Linked DNA regions of Saccharomyces cerevisiae S288C. The gene in region 1 interacts genetically with each later gene. Each region holds a gene or a part of one and is shown on either strand. Other genes may lie near its edges.

The links.
Region 2: mutations in CLN3 (region 1) and SST2 are lethal when combined (synthetic lethality), as found in Saccharomyces cerevisiae (2 studies listed by BioGRID, with this or other methods).
Region 3: mutations in CLN3 (region 1) and PRI2 together harm fitness more than expected from each alone (negative genetic interaction), as found in Saccharomyces cerevisiae (2 studies listed by BioGRID).
Region 4: mutations in CLN3 (region 1) and DAN4 together harm fitness more than expected from each alone (negative genetic interaction), as found in Saccharomyces cerevisiae (2 studies listed by BioGRID).

What each region holds. Positions count from the first base shown.
Region 1 is NC_001133.9:65,268-69,209, forward strand, and holds CLN3 (cyclin CLN3), read right to left. Parts: upstream 2,254-3,942; coding exon 511-2,253; downstream 1-510. Other genes in the region: Rho family guanine nucleotide exchange factor CDC24, read left to right, coding at 1-137; holocytochrome c synthase CYC3, read right to left, coding at 3,449-3,942. UniProt on the Saccharomyces cerevisiae protein: Essential for the control of the cell cycle at the G1/S (start) transition. CLN3 may be an upstream activator of the G1 cyclins which directly catalyze start.
Region 2 is NC_001144.5:1,038,708-1,043,280, reverse strand, and holds SST2 (GTPase-activating protein SST2), read left to right. Parts: upstream 1-1,914; coding exon 1,915-4,011; downstream 4,012-4,573. Other genes in the region: RIF2 (Rif2p), read left to right, coding at 295-1,482; leucine-responsive transcriptional regulator LEU3, read right to left, coding at 4,528-4,573. UniProt on the Saccharomyces cerevisiae protein: Desensitization to alpha-factor pheromone. Is involved in regulating the signaling pathway for responding to mating pheromone.
Region 3 is NC_001143.9:351,875-355,621, forward strand, and holds PRI2 (DNA primase subunit PRI2), read left to right. Parts: upstream 1-1,618; coding exon 1,619-3,205; downstream 3,206-3,747. Other genes in the region: DCW1 (putative mannan endo-1,6-alpha-mannosidase), read right to left, coding at 1-750. UniProt on the Saccharomyces cerevisiae protein: DNA primase is the polymerase that synthesizes small RNA primers for the Okazaki fragments made during discontinuous DNA replication. In a complex with DNA polymerase alpha (DNA polymerase alpha:primase) constitutes a replicative polymerase.
Region 4 is NC_001142.9:711,717-717,422, reverse strand, and holds DAN4 (Dan4p), read left to right. Parts: upstream 1-1,682; coding exon 1,683-5,168; downstream 5,169-5,706. UniProt on the Saccharomyces cerevisiae protein: Component of the cell wall.

The DNA.
Region 1 (3,942 bases):
TTTCACCAATCACCAAGATCAAATATCAGGACGAAGATGGGGATTTTGTTGTGTTAGGTAGCGATGAAGATTGGAATGTTGCTAAAGAAATGTTGGCGGAAAACAATGAGAAATTCTTGAACATTCGTCTGTATTGATAAATAAAACTAGTATACAGCAAATACTAAATAATTCAAGAAAAAAACATTAGATAGAGAGGGGCAGATGTTCAAGCTATACCCATTATATTGATCCACACTTAGTATTAAGATACGTCTGTGAAGGATGAAAAAAAATGTATAATGTGACTAGAGGAAGTAAGGAGAAAAAACGATAGTAATCGTATTTTAGGTTGTGCGTTTTTATAATTTTTTTTTTTTTGTAATTCTATGCAAATGTAATATAAGTATATTTAAAGAAATAATGAGTCCTGTGAAAACAAAAAGAAAAAAAGATCATTAATGTATGTTAACGTATTTGCTTTGCAAATTTTAATTTATTTGTTGTTAAATGCATTTTTTTTTTGTCGTTTCAGCGAGTTTTCTTGAGGTTGCTACTATCATTAAAATCACAATCCACAGAGGAAGTTGATCTCTTTTTCAGTTGGGTGGGGGCAGAGCATGGGTGAGCAGTGGCCATGGGTCTAACAGGAAATAATCTTTTTGAACGCACAGATAAATTTTGTAATAATTTTCTATTTGACATTAGAGATGGGGTGGTGGGAGTTAGTGGGCTTGGCCAAAAGATGCTTGAATTTTGTGGGATGCTCAGTGACCTTTTAAAAGAATTTTGGGTAGAAGAGAACGAACCTGAATGTGAATGGTGTGATGCAGAGTCTGGGGTCGTCATTGAACTTGAAGTCTTGTAAGGGGAATTGAATGGAGATGGAGAGGATGAAGATGAGGTTGGAGTGAAGGCAAATGGTGGAGAAATGCTATCTTTGGTCAACCTTCTTAAATGAGTGTGATCCGAGAAATAGTCTGTGGCCGCAGATGAAACCGTAGCGCTCTTTGGAGTAGTAGCATTTGAGTAAACACAAGTCAATGAATCGCTGTCAAAGGACTGAGCAAAGATAGTATTGTACATGGTTTCCAATTCTTGTGAACGGTAGAATTCTTCCAGTTTCAATTGAATACAATAGTTTTGTAATGCGTCTAAGAGAGATTTTGCTAAAGATGTCTTATTGCTATTCAAATATTTTGATTTGAAACTGGAGGGGAAAGAATTTTGGTCCATTGCTATATCCAATAAAGTATTAGAGATTTCTGACAATTTAATATCTAGGTCTTGGCAGTTTTCCTCCAAAGCCAGATTGATATTTTCCCAAAGGTTTGAATTATAGTAGTTCAAAGATAATTTGATGAGGTTAATTGCACCCAGCGCAATTAGTGAACGATCATATTTAAATGATAATTCGAGATTGAAGGAAGCTAACTCGCACAACATAATGGCACCCAATTTGATCTCGTTGATGTTCAAAGAGGGGCCTTGAGAAGAGGACGATTTATTAATAGCAGTACCAGCAGCGTTATTTAATAAGGCCAGTTTCTGTTGAATGAAAGCTTCCAAAGGGGCAGAAAGGACAACGCCAGGCGATAACGGGGACGTAGATTGGAACAAGAAGATGTCGATGTAGGAGTCGAATGTTGCCGACTGACAGATGGACCAATCGAGTGATTTGAAAAGATGCATTTCCATAGTCGTGAATTGCTTTATAGAATATTGATTGCAACACAAGTTTTGCAAGACTTTCAAAGTGGCCATTCTATTCTTGGAGTCCCAAAATTTGGACGAAATCCAAAGCGCGGTCAAGGACAAGAGCTGGTAGTTGTAACTCTTGATAATGAACCGCGAGGAATACTTGTCCAAGATAGTGAAAGTAAGGAACAAAGTCGAGGTCGATAGATTGAGTCTTGTGTGACAGTACATGATGAAGTCAAAGATCAAGAAACGCATCTTCGGATTAACTTGTGGCTGAGAGTTGAAGTTAGTCAGGTTGTACAGCGGCCTTTCTGTGTGGGAAAGACGGAAATAGTGGTCCAATTGATCATTATTGTATTCGCTGATCGCTGAGTGATGTGCTTGCAATTCTCTTTTAACGAGATTAGGGTTTTTAGACTTTGCACTAGCAATGGCCCGCCTCTTTTGCAAGAGCAAGGGCAAATTAGGACATGAGGCAGCGCTGACAGAGGCGGCAGTGGCGGTGGAAGTGCCACTAGCGGTAGCATACCTTGCATTAGCGTATCTAATTATGGTATCCTTCAATATGGCCATCGTACAGAAAGCGTATCAAATCAGTGTCTTGAACGAGAGTAAAAGGGAGATGCAATGGAATGTAAGAAATGCTATGGGTCAGAAAAGAAATGCAGAGGAGTTAAACCGAATGAGGAAATGCAATGGATACGTTAAATTGGAGATGTGAGATTGCGACTGGGACTCGGATGGATGCTTGCTTTTGGATGCTAGTACAGAGAAAAAAGAGGGAGAAAAGAAAAGAGAAATAGAAAAAGGTTGGTTTAAGTCGGCAGAGGAGACTACTCGGGCAATTCGTTTCCTAATGGGTATAGTCCTCTTTCCTCAGAAATCCATTTGACTGGCAGACTCAGTAGTAGAAGAAAAAATCAAGAAAGAAATTGTGTGAAAGTATACTACACAAGAAAATGTTTAAGAAGAAGATTAAAAGCTCGAGGAAAGTACAGATATACAAATTATAAATAGGTAGGAGGAAGAAAAAAAAAAGATGAGGGCAAAAACCCAAGGCCAAATATGGAAATGTGGCAGAGGGACACACTAATCCGATAGTAAATTTATGTAACTTGATCATTACAGTGAGAGCAGGCTTGGTAATTTCTTTTTCTTGCCTGATAATTTTTCACTTTTTCTTTTTTTTTTTCTTGAAAGTTCACAATTTAGGGTTTGAGCACAGCGTTTGGTTGCGACACTTCCCCAGAAGGAAAACCGGCCTCTTTGGCTGGGGAGGGAAGAAGGGGGAGGAGAGCTCAGAAAGCCCTATCGCGATATGAGGGACCGATCTGTATCAGCATACTTTCGGTATCATCACGGTCGCAGGATAGAGATAGTGAATGAGTTAGCTGTTTTACAGGCCAAGCGTTCAAACGAGACGAATGGCGACATTTGCCCGTCAAGAAAACCCGCCGAGTTTTTTCCTAAACGGGTAAAACAGCCATGCACCGCAGCACGTCGACGAGGTGATATTTCCAATTTGGGAAATTTCCCAAATCAGTAATGTAGCCTCTACGGGTGTCTCTGTCAGCCCCGTGGTCGCCAGCACAGAATGTATCGTACCCCTGAAGGTAGTTTTTTACCGCCGTGGCACACGATAAAGGTGCACCTTGTGATAATAAGGTGGAAAAATATATATGAAAAAGTGAAATTGATTGTGGCTGCACTAGGACATCATTATTTCTTACTTGGCTATTTACACGTACTTACGCTGGCTGTATATCATTTAAGGGGCGGAGGACGAAGAGGACGGACCCGAGATCATCCGGTCCAAGAAACGGGTCATCCGGTCCTTAGCATTGTCTAGACTATCTAGGGCAGGACGGACATCCACGTGGAAAGTAGGCATTCCGTTTTCGTCGTCGGGCCCTCCGTAGAAATCCAAGACGTATCTAACTTCCTTGAAGGTTGGAGGTTGTTGTTCCGCTTTGCGCTCGCCTCGGAGTACAATCCAGTCGTGCCTGTCGAATGGTAGTTCTTGGCTAAAATGGGACGGAAACAGTAGGCCGCACAGGTGCATCCAGCGAGCACGAGGGCTCAATACGCCCGGTTTCCCCATGAATTTCAGCAACTTAGGCTGCACGTGGCTTTCATCTGTGTGCGGTTTTTCCCATTCGAGCACTTCCTGCCAGCACCCTTCATTTAGAAAGTTGTGGACCTGCACCATGGACTCCACTGCATCTTCGGCGACTTCGCCGCTACCGCCAATCTTGCCCTTTC
Region 2 (4,573 bases), on another chromosome or scaffold:
AATAAATCCTTAAAGATTTTGCTTCACTCCATATCCGTAACCGTTCTTGCTGACATGGTTTTCATACACATAATGTTATTATAAGGGATGCTTCTAGGTCAAAGGGCAACCCGGCTTAGTTATCTTGAAAGTTATTATTTTAGTTTTCTAATTTTGCAGCTGTTTTCAATGAAGAAAACATTGCGCTTACAGATATGTACAGAAGGGATCTTCTTAACCATCAATTTCAATAAGTTAGAACAATATATGTACGAATATAGATATAAATACGAACGTGGTTAGTATATAGAGACAATGGAGCATGTAGATTCCGATTTTGCACCTATAAGGAGATCGAAAAAGGTTGTTGACAGTGACAAGATTGTGAAAGCAATAAGCGATGATTTGGAGCAAAAAAATTTTACTGTACTGAGAAAGTTGAACCTTGTTCCAATTAAAAAAAGTGTTAGCAGCCCAAAGGTGTGTAAGCCGAGTCCAGTTAAGGAGCGAGTGGACCATGTTTTCTACCAGAAGTTCAAATCAATGGCCTTGCAAGAGCTAGGCACCAATTATTTGTCAATAAGCTACGTTCCGAGCTTAAGTAAGTTTCTTTCAAAAAATCTTAGGAGTATGAAAAATTGTATCGTTTTCTTCGACAAAGTTGAACATATACACCAATATGCTGGTATCGACCGTGCAGTTTCAGAAACACTGTCTTTAGTCGATATAAATGTCGTAATTATAGAAATGAATGACTACTTAATGAAAGAGGGTATTCAATCAAGCAAATCAAAAGAATGTATCGAGTCAATGGGGCAGGCTTCATATAGCGGACAACTAGATTTCGAAGCTAGTGAAAAACCTTCAAATCACACGTCTGACCTAATGATGATGGTTATGAGGAAAATAAATAATGACGAAAGTATCGATCATATTGTCTACTTCAAATTCGAACAATTAGATAAATTATCTACTTCAACTATAATAGAACCTTCGAAGCTTACCGAATTTATCAATGTTTTATCGGTACTTGAAAAAAGTAATAACATTGCATTTAAGGTCCTCATTTATTCAAATAACGTTAGCATTTCGTCTCTCCTATCGACATCCCTCAAAAAGAAACTCAACACAAAATATACTGTGTTTGAGATGCCGATATTAACATGCGCTCAAGAACAAGAATATTTGAAAAAAATGATAAAGTTTACCTTTGATTCCGGAAGCAAGTTATTACAGTCTTACAACTCGCTTGTCACATGCCAGTTGAATAATAAAGAATCCAACTTAGCAATCTTTTTCGAATTTTTGAAGGTCTTTCCGCACCCTTTTACCTATTTGTTTAACGCTTACACTGAGATTATAGTCCAGAGTAGAACTTTTGATGAATTGTTGGATAAGATCAGAAACAGACTGACAATAAAAAATTACCCACATAGTGCTTATAACTTTAAGAAAAACCAGCGTCTTCCACTTAAGTTAACTCGAAAAGTACATGATAGATAAATTACCAAGGTCTTTTGAAAGAGTTCGAACAATACAAAGAGATGGCAACTCCTTTGGAAAAGTTCAAGTTGAACCACCTCCGTTGTCTCTATTAATGAAGAAGCCATGAAGTATGCGAAGTTTTAACTGAATCATCTTCAATAATTATGGGATGTCTGGGTTTTAAACGTTTCATAATATTCAATTTTGAAACAATGATCCCAATACTGCTTTTTTTTTGACTAGGACTTGGATTTGGTTGCTGGTGCGTTAGAATTGTTGTCTGTCCTGTTATATTTATACCGGTGAATGAAATCATAATCCCAGCTCTGTCTTTACTTCTCATCGTCCTTTAACTTTGGAGGTGTTACTGTCGTACGTTCCTTCTAGGTTTTGCACGCACTATCTGAGGCGTTATAGGTTCAATTTGGTAATTAAAGATAGAGTTGTAAGATGGTGGATAAAAATAGGACGTTGCATGAATTATCTTCCAAAAATTTCAGCAGAACGCCGAATGGACTGATCTTTACCAATGATTTAAAGACAGTATATTCCATTTTTCTAATTTGTTTGGATTTGAAAGAGAAAAAACATAGTAGTGACACTAAGTCTTTCTTATTAACTGCATTCACTAAACATTTCCACTTCACTTTTACATATCAGGAAGCTATTAAAGCAATGGGACAATTGGAACTAAAAGTGGATATGAACACAACTTGTATTAACGTTTCATATAATATTAAACCTAGTTTGGCGCGCCACCTTCTTACATTATTTATGTCTTCTAAGCTACTACATACACCGCAGGACAGAACTCGTGGCGAGCCAAAAGAGAAAGTTCTTTTCCAACCAACACCTAAGGGAGTTGCTGTTTTACAAAAGTATGTTAGAGATATTGGGTTGAAAACAATGCCTGATATTCTTTTGTCATCGTTTAACTCCATGAAACTTTTCACTTTTGAGAGAAGCTCTGTCACGGATTCAATCATCCATAGTGATTATTTGATCCATATTCTTTTCATTAAAATGATGGGCGCTAAGCCAAATGTTTGGTCTCCAACAAACGCAGATGACCCATTACCTTGCCTATCTTCGTTGTTGGAATACACTAATAATGATGATACATTTACTTTTGAGAAATCTAAGCCAGAACAAGGATGGCAAGCTCAGATTGGAAACATCGATATAAATGACTTAGAAAGGGTATCGCCATTAGCTCATCGATTCTTTACAAATCCAGATTCTGAGTCGCACACGCAATACTACGTTTCGAATGCAGGTATTAGGTTGTTTGAAAATAAGACGTTTGGCACTTCCAAAAAAATCGTGATTAAGTACACCTTTACAACAAAGGCTATATGGCAGTGGATAATGGACTGTACTGATATTATGCATGTTAAAGAAGCGGTCTCGTTGGCAGCGTTATTTTTAAAAACGGGGTTGATTGTACCAGTTCTTTTACAACCATCACGCACTGACAAGAAAAAGTTTCAAATTAGCAGGTCCTCTTTTTTTACCTTGTCCAAGCGTGGTTGGGATTTGGTTTCTTGGACAGGTTGTAAGAGCAATAATATTAGAGCACCAAATGGTAGCACCATAGACCTAGATTTCACATTAAGGGGTCATATGACTGTTCGTGATGAAAAAAAGACATTGGATGATAGTGAAGGTTTTTCTCAAGACATGCTTATCTCTTCGAGTAATTTAAATAAACTGGACTATGTGCTAACTGATCCAGGTATGAGATATTTATTCAGGCGCCATTTAGAAAAGGAACTTTGTGTAGAAAATTTGGATGTCTTCATTGAGATTAAGAGGTTTTTGAAGAAAATGACAATTCTGAAAAAATTGATAGATTCTAAGCATTGTGATAAAAAATCTAATACCAGTACTTCAAAAAACAATATCGTAAAAACGATTGATTCAGCTTTAATGAAACAGGCCAATGAGTGCCTTGAAATGGCATATCACATTTATTCGTCCTATATCATGATAGGATCACCATATCAATTAAATATCCATCATAACTTGCGTCAGAATATTTCTGACATCATGTTGCACCCTCATTCTCCATTATCGGAACACTTTCCTACTAATCTATACGATCCATCACCTGCATCCGCGGAATCAGCAGCTTCATCAATTAGCTCAACGGAGGCTGACACGTTAGGTGAACCACCTGAAGTGAGTCTAAAACCTTCAAAAAATCTTTCAAATGAAAACTGTTCATTTAAGAAGCAAGGATTCAAACATCAGTTAAAGGAATATAAACCTGCCCCGTTAACTCTGGCAGAAACGCATTCGCCTAATGCATCAGTAGAAAATTCACATACAATTGTTCGTTATGGCATGGACAACACCCAAAATGATACCAAATCGGTTGAATCATTTCCAGCAACTTTGAAGGTCCTCAGGAAATTATATCCCCTCTTCGAGATCGTTAGCAATGAAATGTATAGACTGATGAATAACGATTCCTTTCAAAAATTTACCCAGTCAGACGTATACAAAGATGCTAGCGCTTTAATAGAAATCCAAGAAAAGTGCTAATTTCATTGAGAGTCTTACTCATCTTCAGGTACAATTGCACAAACAGTCCTTTTTTTTTTCTTTAGTTCTCCTAACCTAATATGTCTTGATACCCATAAGGACTGTAAATACTATTACGTATAAATTAAGCGGAGGTGTGATTTGTTATATCAACTATAATATGATTAAATAAAGCCATTTATTATCTAGTATAATTTCCAATCCTGAGATGTGACTAACGTGAGCGCTTACGAATCTTCGCATCATACACCTGTGGCCAAGGCTGGTTGGCGGTTTAAGTCCGTCTGAAAACTTTTTTTTACGTCATTTGAAGATCAAAAGTATTGAACATATACCTAATGACACAGTTTTTTACACTTTTTTTGAGTTAAATTATTCAAGGACAAAAAATAGTGTGCGTAAATGGAAGAAATATAAACGTATATAGAAAATCATTTACCTCTCCTGTAGCACCGCAGTCATTACATAACATTTTTTCGAGGGTAAGTAAACATTACGCAAAAAAAGAAAAGGACTTTAAACCTTGGGATTGAACGCAAATTCATTCATTAAAATATCAACA
Region 3 (3,747 bases), on another chromosome or scaffold:
TGTCCATTGATATGAGGTCACTTTGGTGCAATTATCATCAATGCTGACACCATCGTAAACATACTTATAGGTACCATTAGAAATTAAGTTCACACCGACCATCCACTCGTAAACTTTTTCGGCCCAGTCAACATATGTTTGATTACCTGTATATCTTGCTAATCTTGCAGCTATGTGAAACAAGGCACCGTTAGAAACGGTGTTCTTGTAATCGTAACCAGAGTTCCAAACGAAAATTTGCCACCTCAAACCACCACCACAGGAATCGGCATCCCAACGCAAAGCCATGGTATTGAAAACAGCCTGTGCTAAATATAGCCATTGAGGCTCATTCTCGGGAGGATTAGTAAAGTTTCTCTCCGCGGCAGTCATAGCAGCAATACCCCAAAAGGCTTGGTCATCATTACCTTCAGTGGTAGATTGATTTAGCGGAATATAGTCATTATCATCACCAGCTTGATGTATCATTGCTGCTATAATTTCATCATTATAGGTGTCGTTATCCATGAAAAACCAGTAATCTAGCATACAGCCCCAGGCACCACCGGCTTCCCACCAATAGTACGGATCTGAAAACATACCGACCGTCTTACCATACTGATTACCAGTGTAATAATCCATTAAACCGTAGGCAATTAGTGAAGTAGCATTTTGCAAAGATTCGTAGTTGTCTAGATCCAATTCGACGGCATTTGTAAATCTTGTTGCGAAGAGTACACCCAGTAACCCTATCACTTTATTTACTAGCATTTTTATGTGTTCGTTTTTAAAACAGACTGAAAAGAAAGAAAGCTCAGAAAAAAAGTGGTGTGTATTTTGTTGTATCCACTATTATATGTCCTGGAAAGGTTTCCCTAGCGTTTTGACCCTTTCGTATCTTGTAATTTAAGCCTCTTTTTACCAAAAATCCTCCCGTTCGCACACCTATTAAGCTGCTTATAAAATATGAGTATCAACACAGTAACAGTGAATATATAATAGATGAGCCCATTATACAAAGAGTACCTATGATCATCATGAAATCCGAGCTTTATTTCCATCTGCCAGTTTTCTTTCTGGATGTACGAAATTAAATCGCGCCTCGAACGGGTGCAAAACCGGGTGACGGGACACCGCTACGAATATAGTACGATACACTTATACATATATGGAAGCATTTATAGCGTATATTCATCGTACGGTACATTCTTTAAATAAATGATTGAATTTTTCTGAACCAACAGTTATAAGCTGAGATCCAGTGCGTTCATGAAACGGAACATCTTACATCATCAAGAGCCCAGAAGCACGGCGTAGGATTGTTTCCGCTGCTACAGACAGACATGGAAACACTGTTTTTATCAGGCCAAAGGTGATACGACAGGTCTCTTCTTGTTTCAATATTGCCTTACATATCTGCTGCTCACTCTATTTGCTTTTTCCTGCTCATTTATAGTTAACTTGATTTGAAATTACGCGTCGCGGGGAATCGCGTAAAACTCGATATTAAATCCTGTGATTTTGCAAAAGTAAATTTTTTACTATCTACATCTCTCCAATTTGCACAACTTTGACAGGACTGATAACTACCCAGGTGGAGCAACCAGTGACAGCAGGTAAAGCACAATAAGGAGAAGAAATGTTCAGGCAGTCAAAAAGAAGAATTGCCTCAAGGAAGAATTTTAGTTCATACGATGATATTGTCAAAAGCGAATTGGACGTAGGCAACACAAATGCAGCTAACCAGATCATCTTAAGTTCAAGTTCATCTGAAGAAGAGAAAAAACTTTACGCTAGGCTGTATGAGTCTAAATTATCATTTTACGATTTACCACCACAGGGAGAAATAACGTTGGAACAATTTGAGATCTGGGCAATCGATCGTCTCAAAATTCTGTTAGAGATCGAATCTTGCCTTTCAAGAAACAAATCGATCAAAGAAATTGAAACCATTATCAAGCCGCAGTTCCAAAAACTACTGCCTTTCAACACAGAGAGTTTAGAAGACAGAAAAAAGGATTACTACTCTCATTTCATTTTAAGATTGTGCTTTTGTCGTTCAAAAGAACTGCGGGAAAAATTCGTCAGGGCTGAAACGTTTTTGTTCAAAATTAGATTTAACATGCTAACCTCCACCGATCAAACAAAATTTGTTCAATCATTGGACTTACCCTTACTACAGTTTATCTCAAATGAAGAAAAGGCCGAATTATCTCATCAGTTGTATCAAACAGTTTCTGCGTCTCTACAGTTCCAATTGAATTTAAACGAGGAACATCAAAGAAAACAGTATTTCCAACAGGAAAAATTCATAAAATTACCTTTCGAAAATGTGATAGAACTGGTAGGAAACCGTTTAGTGTTTTTGAAGGACGGGTACGCATATTTACCACAATTCCAGCAATTGAATTTACTTTCTAATGAGTTTGCTAGCAAATTGAACCAGGAGTTAATAAAAACGTACCAGTACTTACCAAGACTGAATGAGGATGACCGGTTGTTACCAATTCTAAATCATCTTTCGTCGGGGTACACTATCGCGGATTTCAACCAGCAAAAGGCAAACCAATTCAGTGAGAACGTAGATGATGAGATTAATGCGCAAAGTGTCTGGTCTGAAGAGATTAGCTCAAACTATCCGCTATGTATCAAAAACCTGATGGAGGGTCTTAAAAAGAACCATCATTTGAGGTATTATGGGAGACAACAACTGAGTCTGTTTTTGAAAGGTATCGGCCTGAGCGCTGATGAAGCGTTAAAATTTTGGTCTGAGGCATTTACAAGAAATGGGAACATGACAATGGAGAAGTTCAATAAAGAATACCGTTACAGCTTCAGGCATAATTACGGTCTTGAAGGTAACAGAATCAACTACAAACCATGGGACTGTCACACTATCCTTTCCAAGCCCAGACCTGGGCGCGGAGATTATCATGGATGCCCTTTCCGTGATTGGAGTCACGAGAGACTATCTGCAGAATTGCGCTCTATGAAGTTGACCCAAGCGCAGATCATCAGTGTTCTGGATTCCTGCCAGAAAGGTGAATACACAATTGCTTGCACTAAAGTGTTTGAAATGACACACAACTCTGCATCAGCGGATTTGGAAATTGGCGAGCAAACGCATATCGCGCATCCTAACCTATACTTCGAAAGATCAAGGCAACTGCAAAAGAAACAGCAGAAGCTGGAAAAGGAAAAACTATTCAATAATGGTAATCATTAGTGCAGAAAGGGAAAAGGAAAAAAGCGAAGAGATAACTAAAAAGGATTAATAGTATACGTAATTTAGTCTACTGTAAGTATGGTCAAAAATTTTCTTTAGTGAGAAAAAAAAAAAAAAAGAGAAACGATAAACGCTGTACAATACCAGTGACTGCACTGCTCCGAAAACGTCCGAGATATGTATATTGTCCGAATTTTTTCATACTTTAATAGCTGGCCAGAGAAACCTTATAATTTTGTGGCTGCAAGCTATCGCGCTGTTCCTCTGTGACAGGCAACACAGAACAACTAACCGCCTGTCTTTTATGCCTGTACACTTCATTAAAATTTACCGTTTTCTTCCATTACAAGCGGGGACACTTTCCGTTTAAACCTGCAATATGTTGCAGGGCCTATCCACGCCAATTTACTGTGGCAGAAGTTACTGCAGTGGAAGAACTACCTTTTCCAGCATAGCCTCCGCCACCAAAAAATGCAGGTGCTGCGTTTTCTGGATACGTGGCTGGCCTTTAAAACGCATGGGAGGGACAGTATCTCACCGAT
Region 4 (5,706 bases), on another chromosome or scaffold:
AACGGAACAAGGTTAGCATGTCTTTCAATCTTAAGTTTAAGAGGCCGCCGGACATCTTCATATCAACCCTTTTCCTGCCAGGAGGCAGGCACAATCATTTGTTGTGCATGTAGGGCTAGATTTTTGAAAATTTGGCATTTCGAGCATATGGGCCCCAGAATAAGCTTCAGGCTAGTTTTTTTTTTTTAGCTTCTATTATGTATGCCCGTCAAGATCATTAGTATCGCATGATTTGGTTGATTAACCACAGAATGTTGAGAAATTCTCACAATGGAAGACATATCGGCCTACGGTAAGATTACACTGAGGACCTTATGTAGTCTGATTGCTTCTGTTTACGCAGAGCCCCGCATATTTTGATAGTTTGATATGAAACCTTTACAAATCATTGAGAGTGCGCCGTACTCGTCGAATCGCGGGGAATGTCTTCTATTAACGTGTCCTCTACGGGCCGTCATTCCAAACGGGCAGCTGTAGGCGACTAATGAACCACCTCTGAATGCAAAGGATGTAAACTGTTGGCACAATAATGGGGCTGACGTAGCGTGAAGAAAATATAACTGATATGTTAAAGGAAATACAAAAGATTTCATGACCGCTAACACAACAATACTAAGTTATGAGGGTAGAGATTTTTCGTTACTGTTGCTATAAGAACCCGAATCAAGACCGTTTATCATATATGAACTATTATGATTGGCAAGGCTTTTTCTTAATTCAAGTCACACGTCGAGGTCTCCCTTGGAATTCGTATAAATCACACTAAAAGTTCTGTGGATTCTATTAAATGAAAGCAACGGTTCCGCTTTGGATGCATAGAACCTTCGTGAGTAATTATTTTCCAATTGGAGGAATGGATGTTATCATCAAACGATAACATTCATAGCCAAGAAGTATTTGGGTTTTCTTTTTGTCACATGTAGACTTTGATACTTCTCTGTGCAAGCTATGACAGGTTACAAAGCGCATTGAGTGGCGGGCTGCAAAAAAATGAGGAGATATTTCAATTAACAAGATCTAGTTTCCTAATACGGACCTTTTTCGGAGCGCTAGGATCAAAATTGGATAGCACAAACAGCTTCTCTCTCTCTACGAGCTAAGATCCTCTGAATGGTGCTTGCACATTCTCGTTTGCAGCATATTTACTCCTTTTCGAGTGTGCTAAACCCCAAGTGACCCAGTGTCTACTGACTGGGAAAAAGTGATCTTTCTGTTTGGTAGCGCGTATAGCACGTAGAGTAAAGTTATGTGAATGTCTATTGAACGACGACATCAAATTAACTTTTTTTGCAGTTCTGTCACTTAATCACAGATAATAAGAGCAGAACAATTTAGGCACGGGGAAATTCGATCGATCTGCCCATCCGTAGGCGTTTTCTCCGGAGAAGTTTTTACATGCTGCGCATTTCTTTGGCGGTGAAAAAGACAGTACATCGCGTGCCTTTAAAGATGTCAAAAATTATACGAGATCTGTTTAAGATCTCCATCGTTCAGGAACTGTAAAACAAGAAGCATTGGCAAAGATAGTGATTTTGCTCCAATATATTCGTTTATACAACAGCTGTTTGGTTCGAAAGCCTATAAATGGCCTGTGTAAATGGCTGTATTGAGAGTATGCTCAAACTGAAATAAGTACCAGTTCCTGTCGAATCTGCGATATCCGAAAAACTCCGAAGAAAGCAATGGTTAATATAAGCATCGTAGCAGGAATTGTAGCCTTAGCTACTAGTGCGGCTGCTATTACAGCGACCACTACTTTATCTCCTTACGATGAAAGAGTCAACCTTATTGAATTGGCTGTTTATGTTTCTGACATCAGAGCCCACATATTTCAGTACTACTCTTTCCGGAATCACCATAAGACTGAAACATATCCTTCGGAAATCGCAGCAGCCGTTTTTGACTACGGTGATTTCACTACTCGATTGACCGGTATTTCGGGTGATGAAGTAACTAGAATGATCACTGGTGTTCCGTGGTACTCTACCAGATTAAAGCCGGCTATCTCTTCAGCGCTTTCAAAGGATGGTATTTACACGGCTATCCCAACCTCTACTTCTACAACGACTACAAAATCTAGTACTTCGACTACTCCTACCACCACTATCACTTCTACTACTTCTACCACATCGACTACTCCTACAACCTCTACTACTTCTACCACTCCTACAACTTCTACCACATCGACTACTCCTACAACCTCTACTACTTCTACCACTCCTACAACTTCTACCACATCGACTACTCCTACAACCTCTACTACTTCTACCACTCCTACAACTTCTACCACATCGACTACTCCTACAACCTCTACTACTTCTACCACTCCTACAACTTCTACAACTTCTACCACTCCTACAACTTCTACCACTCCTACAACTTCTACAACCTCCACCACTTCTCAAACTTCCACCAAATCGACTACTCCTACTACTTCAAGCACATCGACTACTCCTACAACTTCTACCACTCCTACAACTTCTACAACCTCTACCGCTCCTACAACTTCTACAACTTCTACAACCTCTACCACTTCTACCATTTCTACCGCTCCCACGACCTCTACAACTTCAAGCACTTTCAGTACTTCTAGTGCCTCTGCATCCTCTGTCATTTCTACCACTGCTACAACCTCTACCACTTTTGCCAGTCTTACTACACCTGCCACATCTACGGCTTCTACTGACCATACAACCTCTAGTGTCTCAACAACTAACGCATTCACTACTTCTGCAACTACTACTACTACGAGCGATACATATATCAGTTCAAGTAGTCCCAGCCAAGTCACTTCATCCGCTGAGCCTACTACTGTCAGTGAAGTCACCTCTTCTGTTGAACCTACCAGGTCTAGTCAAGTCACTTCATCCGCTGAACCTACTACTGTCAGTGAATTCACCTCTTCTGTTGAACCTACCAGGTCTAGTCAAGTCACTTCATCCGCTGAACCTACTACTGTCAGTGAATTCACCTCTTCTGTTGAACCTACCAGGTCTAGTCAAGTCACTTCATCCGCTGAACCTACTACTGTCAGTGAATTCACCTCTTCTGTTGAACCTACCAGGTCTAGTCAAGTCACTTCATCCGCTGAACCTACTACTGTCAGTGAATTCACCTCTTCTGTTGAACCTACCAGGTCTAGTCAAGTCACTTCATCCGCTGAACCTACTACTGTCAGTGAATTCACCTCTTCTGTTGAACCTATCAGGTCTAGTCAAGTCACTTCATCCGCTGAACCTACTACTGTAAGTGAAGTCACCTCTTCTGTTGAACCTATCAGGTCTAGTCAAGTGACCACGACAGAACCTGTTTCTTCCTTCGGGTCTACTTTCAGTGAAATCACCTCTTCTGCTGAACCTCTCTCTTTCAGTAAAGCAACCACTTCCGCAGAATCTATCTCCTCTAATCAAATCACCATTTCCAGTGAACTAATAGTTTCTAGTGTAATTACTTCCTCTTCTGAGATTCCTTCTTCCATTGAAGTACTTACTTCAAGCGGGATCAGTTCATCAGTTGAACCCACTTCTTTGGTTGGACCTTCTTCTGATGAATCCATTTCTTCTACTGAAAGTCTATCTGCCACATCCACTTTCACTTCAGCCGTTGTTTCCTCGAGCAAGGCTGCTGATTTCTTTACCAGATCCACTGTTTCTGCTAAATCTGATGTCTCTGGTAACTCCTCTACCCAATCTACTACCTTTTTTGCTACGCCTTCCACTCCACTTGCTGTTTCTTCAACTGTGGTCACTAGCTCTACCGATTCAGTTTCTCCTAATATTCCCTTCAGTGAAATCAGTTCCTCTCCAGAGTCGTCTACTGCAATTACGTCTACATCCACTAGCTTCATTGCTGAGCGGACTTCTTCCTTATATCTTTCGTCATCAAATATGTCAAGTTTCACTTTAAGTACTTTCACTGTTTCCCAATCGATCGTCTCTTCATTTTCTATGGAACCTACATCGTCAGTCGCATCTTTTGCATCAAGTTCCCCTCTCTTAGTATCCTCAAGAAGTAATTGCAGTGATGCCAGAAGTTCCAACACCATCAGTAGCGGTCTGTTCAGCACGATAGAAAATGTTCGTAATGCAACCTCAACATTTACAAACCTATCAACAGATGAAATTGTCATCACGAGCTGTAAGAGTAGTTGTACTAATGAAGATAGTGTTTTGACGAAAACTCAAGTTTCTACCGTTGAAACTACTATAACTAGTTGTTCGGGTGGTATTTGTACCACGCTGATGTCTCCGGTTACTACTATTAATGCTAAGGCGAACACATTAACAACTACAGAAACTTCCACGGTCGAAACAACTATAACAACATGCCCTGGTGGTGTTTGCTCGACCCTGACTGTTCCAGTTACTACAATCACCAGCGAAGCCACTACCACCGCTACCATTAGTTGCGAAGATAATGAAGAAGATATCACTTCTACTGAAACCGAGTTGCTAACTTTGGAAACTACTATAACTAGTTGTTCGGGTGGTATTTGTACCACGCTGATGTCTCCGGTTACTACTATTAATGCTAAGGCGAACACATTAACAACTACAGAAACTTCCACGGTCGAAACAACTATAACAACATGCTCTGGTGGTGTTTGCTCGACCCTGACTGTTCCAGTTACTACAATCACCAGCGAAGCAACTACCACCGCTACCATTAGTTGCGAAGATAATGAAGAAGATGTCGCCTCTACTAAAACCGAGTTGCTAACTATGGAAACTACTATTACTAGTTGTTCGGGTGGTATTTGCACCACGCTGATGTCTCCGGTTAGTAGTTTCAACTCCAAAGCCACTACATCGAACAATGCAGAGTCGACCATCCCCAAAGCGATTAAAGTCAGTTGCTCTGCGGGTGCCTGTACCACCCTGACTACTGTCGATGCAGGGATTAGCATGTTTACCAGAACCGGATTGTCTATCACTCAAACTACTGTGACCAACTGCTCAGGTGGAACCTGTACCATGTTAACTGCACCAATCGCGACCGCTACCAGCAAAGTCATCTCACCAATTCCAAAAGCCTCCTCGGCTACTTCCATTGCTCATTCATCTGCTTCTTATACTGTCAGTATCAATACCAACGGTGCCTATAATTTCGATAAAGATAACATTTTTGGTACCGCTATCGTTGCTGTTGTCGCTTTATTACTGCTATAGTGATACAATATAATCTTCACAAGCATATAAACAATTGTAAAATAATTTAAATTGACTTGAAAGAAATTTTAAATCTATACTTGATTCATGTAGCACATAATACTACGGTTTGTGAACATACTCCTATACACTTTGAATGGTTTGTATGATATACAGGTATCTAAACATTAGTGTTACCAGTTCGTATATTAACACTAGTTAAATTTGAATCCTCTAAGGTATCGCCAACAAGTAAAATTTTACATTTAATTGAGAAGTTTTTTAATTTTTCTAAGAAAACATTAAAAATATCACAATATGGGCTTCAGCCTAAAATTATGGTTTTTTTTTTCCCTCATCCTTCATTTTATTACCTCCGTTTATTGACGTGTTCGACAACTCACATATGAAGCTTTAAATACTTTGTTCACTGTTAGTTTAAATAAAATTTAGCCTTTAGGTTAAAAATCGTGTCAAAAAAGGAATTCTTCCAAGAACATGAACTAAAGCTCTTCTTAAAATAAAGTTATGTAAGATAGAACTACGCGGCACAAAGATG